Nothobranchius furzeri: one gene and its partner. The protein of the gene in region 2 purifies or fractionates together with the protein of the main gene of each other region. This does not show direct contact. Links are inferred from orthologs where the notes say so. Each region holds a gene or a part of one and is shown on either strand. Other genes may lie near its edges. The genes, in order: eapp and ecd.

The links.
Region 1: the proteins of ecd (region 2) and eapp purify together in Homo sapiens (affinity purification with mass spectrometry; 3 studies listed by BioGRID and IntAct, counting the BioPlex papers as one, with this or other methods). This does not show direct contact. The link is inferred for Nothobranchius furzeri from reciprocal best matches to the Homo sapiens genes ECD and EAPP.

The regions. Positions count from the first base shown.
Region 1 is NC_091758.1:7,753,828-7,758,147, reverse strand, and holds the start of eapp (E2F-associated phosphoprotein), read left to right. Parts: upstream 1-1,212; 5' UTR 1,213-1,320; coding exon 1,321-1,400; intron 1,401-2,949; coding exon 2,950-3,128; intron 3,129-3,306; coding exon 3,307-3,420; intron 3,421-3,487; coding exon 3,488-3,596; intron 3,597-3,673; coding exon 3,674-3,802; intron 3,803-4,320. UniProt on the Homo sapiens protein: May play an important role in the fine-tuning of both major E2F1 activities, the regulation of the cell-cycle and the induction of apoptosis. Promotes S-phase entry, and inhibits p14(ARP) expression.
Region 2 is NC_091752.1:30,506,476-30,510,832, reverse strand, and holds the start of ecd (protein ecdysoneless homolog), read right to left. Parts: upstream 2,962-4,357; 5' UTR 2,813-2,961; intron 2,715-2,812; 5' UTR 2,710-2,714; coding exon 2,505-2,709; intron 2,232-2,504; coding exon 2,114-2,231; intron 2,029-2,113; coding exon 1,941-2,028; intron 1,811-1,940; coding exon 1,632-1,810; intron 1,438-1,631; coding exon 1,245-1,437; intron 1,156-1,244; coding exon 1,027-1,155; intron 916-1,026; coding exon 790-915; intron 682-789; coding exon 596-681; intron 324-595; coding exon 220-323; intron 1-219. Other genes in the region: protein FAM149B1, read left to right, coding at 3,641-3,687. UniProt on the Homo sapiens protein: Regulator of p53/TP53 stability and function. Inhibits MDM2-mediated degradation of p53/TP53 possibly by cooperating in part with TXNIP. May be involved transcriptional regulation. In vitro has intrinsic transactivation activity enhanced by EP300.

The DNA of each region.
Region 1 (4,320 bases), on a different chromosome or scaffold from region 2:
GGCTGTTGTTAACTAATATATACATGCACTCTCTACTTTTGGATTTTTCTTTTTAAAGACTTTTGAGACTTCTTCTTTTGTTTCATATATACATACATACATACATACATACATATATATATATATATATATATATATATATATATATATATGTATATATATATGTATATATATATATATATATATATATATATATATGTATATATATATATATATATATATATATATATATATATATATATATATGTATATATATATAAATATATATAAATATATATATATATATATATATACATATATATATATATATATATATATATATATATATATATGTATATATATGTATGTATGTATGTATGTATGTATGTACATTTATATATTTATATATATATATATATAAATATATATATATGTATATATATATATATATACATACATTTATATATTTATATATATATATATGTATATGTATAAATATGTACATACACACATATATACATATATATGTATGTATATATGTATTTATATATGTATATATATATATATATATAAACGAAAAACACTTTAAATCTTTTAATGTTTTTATGATCTTGGACACAGATACATTTATTACATATGTTTTCGGAAGGTTGCAGGTTCGAGTCCCGCTCAGTCTGTCGCTGTCATTGTGTTCTTGGGCAAGACACTTAACCCACGTTGCCTGCTGGTGGTGGTGGGAGGGACTGGTGGCGCCAGTGCTCGGCAGCCTCGCCTCTGTCAGTGCGCCTCAGGGCAGCTGTGGCTACATCGTAGCTCTTCCCCACCAGTGTGTGAATGTGTGTGTGAATGACTGATTGTGTTGTAAAGCGCCTTGAGGGGTTCCATGACTCTAGAAGGCGCTATATCAAATACAGGCCATTTACCATTGATAACATCACAAATATATTTCAACACAGATGTAATTTTTCATAAATATTCTATAATTTTACATGTGTATTATCACAAATATATTTCACAGCTTAGTGGTTCTTCATCACAATTATAATTAAATTTAAAGTGGTAATTGTGAAAAATTATTTACGTAATAATTAGTGTTATTATGCAGATTTCGCATACATTTCTATTTTTGTATTCGCACTGAGCAGGAATCGAACCCACGCAGTTCGACTCCCGGACAAAACAGTTTAAAAAAAAACTGCCTCAACCCTCCAGTCCACTAGAGGGCGCTAGGGTAGTTTGGAGTTGGTTTTCCACCAAGTGGAAAGGTGACATAGAACTAGTCGTTTTCTGTCACTACGTAGAAGTAATTATGTTCCCATAGTTAAACTTTCAGCCGTCAGAATGAACATGCTGAATAAATCACAGGACTTTGACTCATATGAAGTCGAAGAGCCAAGTGACGAGGAGCGGGCAGCGAGCAGGTAGGGATCAAATAAACTACGGTTTCTAACATTAGCATCGTGGCTAGCATCTCCGGTGTTCTACATGAACTAGACATCAGCTCAAATGGTGTGTGGTGGATGCATCGGACATAGGTGGCTCATCAAAGCCTGATCAAAACTATGCGAATGTAAACAAACTGTTCATAAACGTAATTGATGTTGGTATAAACGCGAGTAAAGCATGTTGCCTTCTATCTTATGTGACATCTGTTTGTGAGCAATCGTTCTAAAATAAAAAAGAGGGTCAAAATGATCACAACTGAAACAGCGTTGAGGCGCGTTAAGGTGAGGTTGGTGTTTTAAATTAACTGGTGATTCGTCCCTTTACTGGTTCAAACAGCCTGTTTATTATGATCCATGGAAATGAACATGGATTTAAGCTGCTTGGTTTGAACCCACACGGGCTTTTAGAAACTCGTTTTCTTGGGTTAATTTACGACAAAACTAGAACGAGAGTTTTGTACATCTTGTTAAAAAAATAATAGAGCAGACTTGTACACTGTGGTCCAGATGAAACTCAACACAACTTTTATACAGTATTATTAAAACACTGTCGACGAGAAGAGATGCTAGTACATACTCAGTCCGCTAACAGATTCACTCTCTCAGAAGAACTCAAGACCTTATCCCACTGAATCCAAGACCCCAAGGCCACAATGCCCCGAGCATTATCTGGTTGTTCTGCTCTGGTGTTTCTGTTTTATGTGACCTGGACTCATAGAGTTACTTGGCTGAAATATTTTCCCGTTGCATGTGATGTCATACTACTCACTGGAACACCTCTTTCTTCGTGGTGGAAGTGAAGGGAACAGTTTGTCCAAAAGAAGCTAGTTTGTAGCCTTATATTGTGCTTAGTTTGTTGGTATTGCTGTAAGGTGGTTATCGCTACTAACAGACGAGCTTATAAACTCAACTTGTTTTTATTTTAAATAACTTTGATGGGAACGGAAGATGGAGACGGACAGCAGCTGTCAATCACTTGTGTAGTAATAGTTAAAATAAGGGATGCAGCACCAGTGCTGCTCATTTGTTTTGTCGGGTAGATTTTCAGTCATCTCTAGGGATGTAAGACAATATCGATATGGCAATATATTGTGATATTTTTTCCAGCAATATTACATCGATATTCAAAAGCCGTGTATCTAATTCTTGAAAGAATTTACATGCAAACATTTGTGTATTTTCTTTTCGTTTTGTGCAATTTAATCGCCGCCCGCTAGTTTGCAGCAGTGTGCAACAGGTTTTGTTTCCACCATTGAAATGTAAATCCCTCCATCATGGTTCAGATACCTCATGTTAAACATGTTACGTATCAGTTTGGACTGTTAAACATTCTTACAATAAATTCAGTAAAAAAAATTGCTTGTAACGTCTGACTGAATGTATCGCAATATATCTTGATATATCGTATCGTCTCCCCTGTATCGTGATATGTATCGTATCGCCAGAATTTCAAAAGTACACATCCCTGGTCATCTCAGACCAAACATTTGAGGTTTTTTATTTTCTTCTTGTGGTTGTGTTTCAGTTCAGAGGATGAGCTGGATGTGCTTCTGAACGGGACAGCAGAGCAGAAGAAGAAGCTGATCAGAGAGTATCTGACGGGGGAGAGCGAGTCGTCCAGTGAGGATGACTTTGAAAAGGAAATGGAGACGGAGCTCAGCTCCACCATCAGGAACATGGAGGGAACCTGGGCACCAGCAGCTAGTAGGACACCAACAAATGTTATTATAACTAGTTTAGTTGGACCAAGGAAATTGTGTCCTGTTTTGGACGTGGCAACTAATGATTGTGTGTGATTAAATAATCATTGTGGCCCTCCGCGACTGCTATGAAATCATTCCTGAGAGTTTAAGTGGTGGTGATGAAGTTTCTCTTTGTTCAGACAGCGGTGGTGAAGGAGCAGGTGCCGGTGGCGTAGGAGGTTCCAGTGTTCCCAATCCACCGATGTATGACGAAGTTTACTTTGATTCTGACTCAGAGGACGAGGACACACCAAGTACGACGTCACTTTACACGACTTCATCTTCACTTTGATTTTGGTTAATTTCACCTGTTTGTTACAGGCAGCTCTACCAGCTGGAAGCGGAGACAGCGTGTAGTTCCTACCAATGATGAGCTGTTGTATGACCCAGACGAGGATGACAGGGACCAGGCTTGGGTAGACGCCAGACGGTAGTTCTGTAAAACACTGCCACTAGTACTTTTTTTGTCTTCTTGTAGGCCGTTTACCCATTTCTGTTCCTGTTCAGGTATAACAGCAGAAAACAACCAAATGCAGCCTCCCGGTCCAAATCCGGCCAACCTCGGTGTTTACCCAACAGTGATGCTGTTCTCAACTGTCCCGCCTGCATGACGACGCTCTGCCTGGACTGTCAGAGGTCAGGCACAACTATCCTGCTGTGTGTTCTTGTTGATTGTGTCAGCTAGCATGAACCAAAAACAAAGTTGTATGGCAATATCACAACGGGTTGCACTAATGTTCCCTAGGGTGCACGACACATCACAGATGGGTCCATATCATTTACAGTGTCACGCATGTATCAGAGCACAAAGGGAACAATGGAGTTTCATCATTTTAGCTGCGTGTTAGCTGCCTCTGACTCATGCATCAGTGTAGTGTAAGGTTGGGCGACTGGACTGTCGGCGATGGGCCAGTCTTTTTTTATCAGCAATATTTTTTATGCCATGAATTAGTCTCTCAGATGGGACTTTGCTAATGTTCATGTCAAATCAGCGTCTTGCTCTATGTGCACATACTCATTACACATCATTTGAAAGCTTGGAGTCTCGTGATTCCAATGAGGTATGGCAATCGAGGGTTCAACCGTATCAGTCAGTCTAACTCACTGGTTCGAAGCTGCAGCATTAACAGAACAGAGCCATTTTCAAGAAAGAT
Region 2 (4,357 bases):
TAAGAAGTAGCAGAGGTTAGAGAAACACAAAGTTACAAGTGAAACATTAACCATGAACATACCAGCACCTTCAAATGCTGCCAGCGGCGATTTTCCTTCCTTCCTTTTTTTTATGTGAAATTTCATCACCAATTAACCAAGGGGCAACTTAAACCCATTCAAGCAAAAAAATCTGCTCGTCTTAAGAATGACTTTCCATCGTTTATCGTTTCTACTCACTGTCCTCTTGGGGAAGCTGTGACTGCTGTTTTTTCAATTCCTCCAAGTCGAACGGAGGACTGCTGTGAAGCACCTCAACAACTTCCTCCCCAGGGGACAGAGGACTGAAAACACACATCAAGCACGTTCACACCGCTGCGCTGGCATATGAAAGGTAGCTATGGTCTCTACTGCATGATGCAACATTCTGTTAGGAAACAAAGAGCCCAGTTTTGAACGTTACTTTATCAGGCACCACCTACCTGAGCTAAAAACTCAGGTGGGCCACATGTGTGCTGAGATCAAACTGCACATTTGAGTGGCCAGCCTAGAGTATGCCTGTGCAAAACATACTTCATTTGATTAACACATTTTCATACACAAGATAGCTTCTCACCTTGACTTTGAGACAACGGAGTACTTGAAGAAAATTTCTGCTGATCTTAAGCGTTCTTTAAAACGTACCGAACCCTCCAGCTCTCCCTGCGTTAGACAGCAATGGCACTGAATCACTGTATGGTAGCGAATCGCTGAGCATGCTGCTCTTCCAAGTGTCTGCTTTTAATTTAAATACAAAATAGTGCACCACACCTGGAAGTAGTCGTTCTTTTTCAGGCTCTCCAAGAAGCCTTTCCACTGGGGGTTGCAGCTTACTGGCGCGTTTGGCTCCGAGGACGGCAGTCTGCATTTAGAGCACAGGATCTCAAAGCCATGGGCCTGAGAGAAGGATGCACAGTTAAAAAACATCCTACAAGACTCCAAACACAAGTTATCCATATATTTTGTTGCAAAAACAGCAAAAGAACAAACAAACAAAATATGCTTCACCAGTTTCATGCCCAACTCATAAGCCTTGTACTGAGGATGAGAGCGAGGAGGCAGGCTAAATCCGCTCCTCCGATCTGGGATAAAATCTTGCTGCTGCAGCTGTGCATAAAGGCAGCGGGTGAACGTCACCTAAAGAATAAATATCAAGTTCCAGGTTTCAATTAAAGGCAACATTTCACAAAAAAGTTATGCACTCACGAGTGTTTTTGTGCACTCACCAAAGTGAGGATTCTCGTATCAGGAGGAAAAGTCTTGAAGCTTCGACAGGCCTGTAGATCCACCGGATCCCGCAGATAAAACGCTGAAACCGCAGGAGCAACCAGGTCTGGACGCTGCGCCAGAACAGTGGCTACCCCTGCAGGTATGAAGCAGTGAGCCCGGTGGAGGTTACTCTGGATCTTCTCTGGATACCTAGATGAAAAACAGAGATAATGTTTTTTCTAAAACTTTACAGGGCTTGTATGAGCCATGCTGATGTTCCCCGTGTTGCTATGGTATAATGTGTTTCCTGCACAGAAGGAATGCAGAGATTGTGTCAACAACATTTACGAGGCTAATAGCTATTAGATACCAAAGAGCAGTGGTGTTCTTTCAAACCCTCTCACCCTTTTATTCTCTTGTTCAGAGCTGAGCATATCTTAGGGCTGGCCTGACAGGAGTCTGGATGAGTGGAGAGTAGTTCTATGGCTTCTGCCACACTGGGAACAACATCAACTGGGAAGCCCACTGGACTTAGTTTGGAGGGGCAAGGAAGGATGTGCAGCTCTCCCTTGTAAAGAAAAACCTGTAAAGAAATGCAGCCAAAGTCAAATGGAAAATTTGCATTTTAAAGTGTCTTTCACATGAATTCTCAACCAATATCCAGCTATAACGAATCACACAATATTATGTCCCATTTCATCAGAAGGGCTAACCCTGTTTTCACTCGTGTCTGGGTTCAACCACTTTGGAAGGTAATCAGCAGCTTCGATCAGAATAAACTCCCCATCGTTGTCCTCAACCCTGCACACACAAACAGCATAGAGTTGTATGCAGCAAGAACACATTTCTGTTGCAACAGTAACACTGAGACCCTATAGTGTCTCACCTGGCTGCAAGCTCTGGAAAAACTTCTGTGATCTGCTTCAAGAGGTAAACAATAAACCACTCGTCCTCAACGTTGTCTCCAAACTGACTGCTGCCTCCAATGTGAGCAGGAATATTTCCTATCAGGACACGTGAGATTTGATGGTTACATTGCGTTATAAACAGGTGTTCTGTCTAATCACCATACATTGACAGATTGGCAAGTGCGTATTACAGTGTATGCCTATCTGACAACACAAGGCTTTTCAGACATGCATACGCTATCAGATCATACATTTTAAAAGATGTATGACACTTTGATGAGCCAGTTGACCCGTCAGATAGATTACCATACACTTTGTTTTAGCACACCCTGATAGGTCATCATCTAAGTGCAGCTGATTAAATCTTACCTTTCTCTGAATGAAATCTGAGGCTGAATGGCTGATGTTGCCAGATATACTGTACCAAAAGTGGAGCTAATTTAGCCAAAATCTCCTCTGTCAAGCATTTTAGGCGTTCTTCAGTCTGCTGAGAAGATAAACCATTTGACTGGACCAAGAATAGTTTGTACTGAACCGTATCTTCTTGAATCATCCTTTTCTGCAGAGCATCCATTGTAGCTGATAAAAGAAAAGAAAAAATGATTAATTTACTGAATAAAGGAGATGTCTGGGGAGAGCTAGTCTCACCAAGACGTAAATATGTCAGTTAAATGTACCTTGTCGTGCATGTAAAAGGTCCTTTTAATTTTAAATCTCTGCAAACCAGAACTGAAGAAATTTGGTATTTTCTGACGTTGCTAGCACGCCATCAGTGACTGTTTAGGTCCGTCCACAATTTGTAGTCGACACTCACATTTCTTTCGATGAAGTTCCGGTTTCAAATGTATGTACGTTATAAAATATCTCACTTAAAAATTAACCTTTGTACCGTATATTAATTACTTAATTATTATTGATAAATAATTTTAACTTAGTAAATTAACTGATAAATCATACGCTGAATGATTTCTTATTATTACGAACGGAAACATTTCAGAGACGTAACCACATCGCCGGAGAGATGTCTGGGAAATGTAGGAAAACAGATTTGTGAAGAACGCGTTACACGTTCTTCAGAAATACATTTCCCGCGAACCCGCGCGGTTAAGAGGCTGCGTATCCATGACAGCCGCGCTGTTGTTTTCGTCGGTGCTAATGCTAGCATGTATACACACATTAATGCTAAGCTATTAGCCTGATCGCTACATAACTTCCGGACAAACGTGATTAGTACCTAGTGTAGACAGTCTAACTTAATGGTTAACATATTTGCGGAAGTTTTATAACACCACCTGTGCCCTGTTTGCATGTCACGGTCGCATCAACGCCTCTCAGCTCTTTTTAGCGTAGCCTCCTCCCCTCAACAGATAAAAAGAGCGTGTCTTTTGTCTTGCGGACTACCGATCGAGGATGGTGAGGCTCGTCTGCTTCTCACATAGAGTCCAAGAAGCAGAGGCAAGGATGGGAGTCGAGGGCTTGAGCCCATAAAACGGAGAGAAAGGAGAATGATTTCACGATACAACAGAAAACCTGTATCGCACAAACTTGAGATGTGAGTACCAAATGTTGCTTCAGCCCCCTGCGGCTTAAATCTACATATGTTGTTTGTGTGTGTGTGGTGTTCCAGCGAGTTACTACTGAGCTGATCTGACTTTTAGCTGCTTGAGTCACACAATATTCAATCTATATAGTTTACTATGTCAGTTGTTTTTCTTCAGAAAAATTTCTTGGGCTTACAGAAGATTAGTATTTACCATAATAATGACCCATTGTAACATTTAATTGTGTTTTAGCTGGGTTTGATTGCCCATTGTATTACCACTGTTAGATGTCTGCACAGTCATTTCCGGGCTGTTTTTTATTTATTTATAATGCTTAAGGACCGTGGCTGCGTGTGTAGTATTGATTCCTAGAAACTTAATTCTGTTCACTACCTTGACCTTAGATCCATGACTGATGCAAAGGAATTCAATGGATCATTGGCTCCTTTTTATAAAACTGTGAGAAAGATCCTTAGTAGTAACACACAAAATAAATAAATGCATACATACATACATACATACATACAACTTTAAAGCCTTTTTGAATTGATTTTTGGTTCATGGTCATCAGCTAAAGAATATAAATGCAGACTTATGCTTTCGAGATGTGTCTTATTTTTTGACTCTACGGTCTGGGCCGTTTGAATTCTCCTTCTAACGTCTGATAACCGATGTCATTAA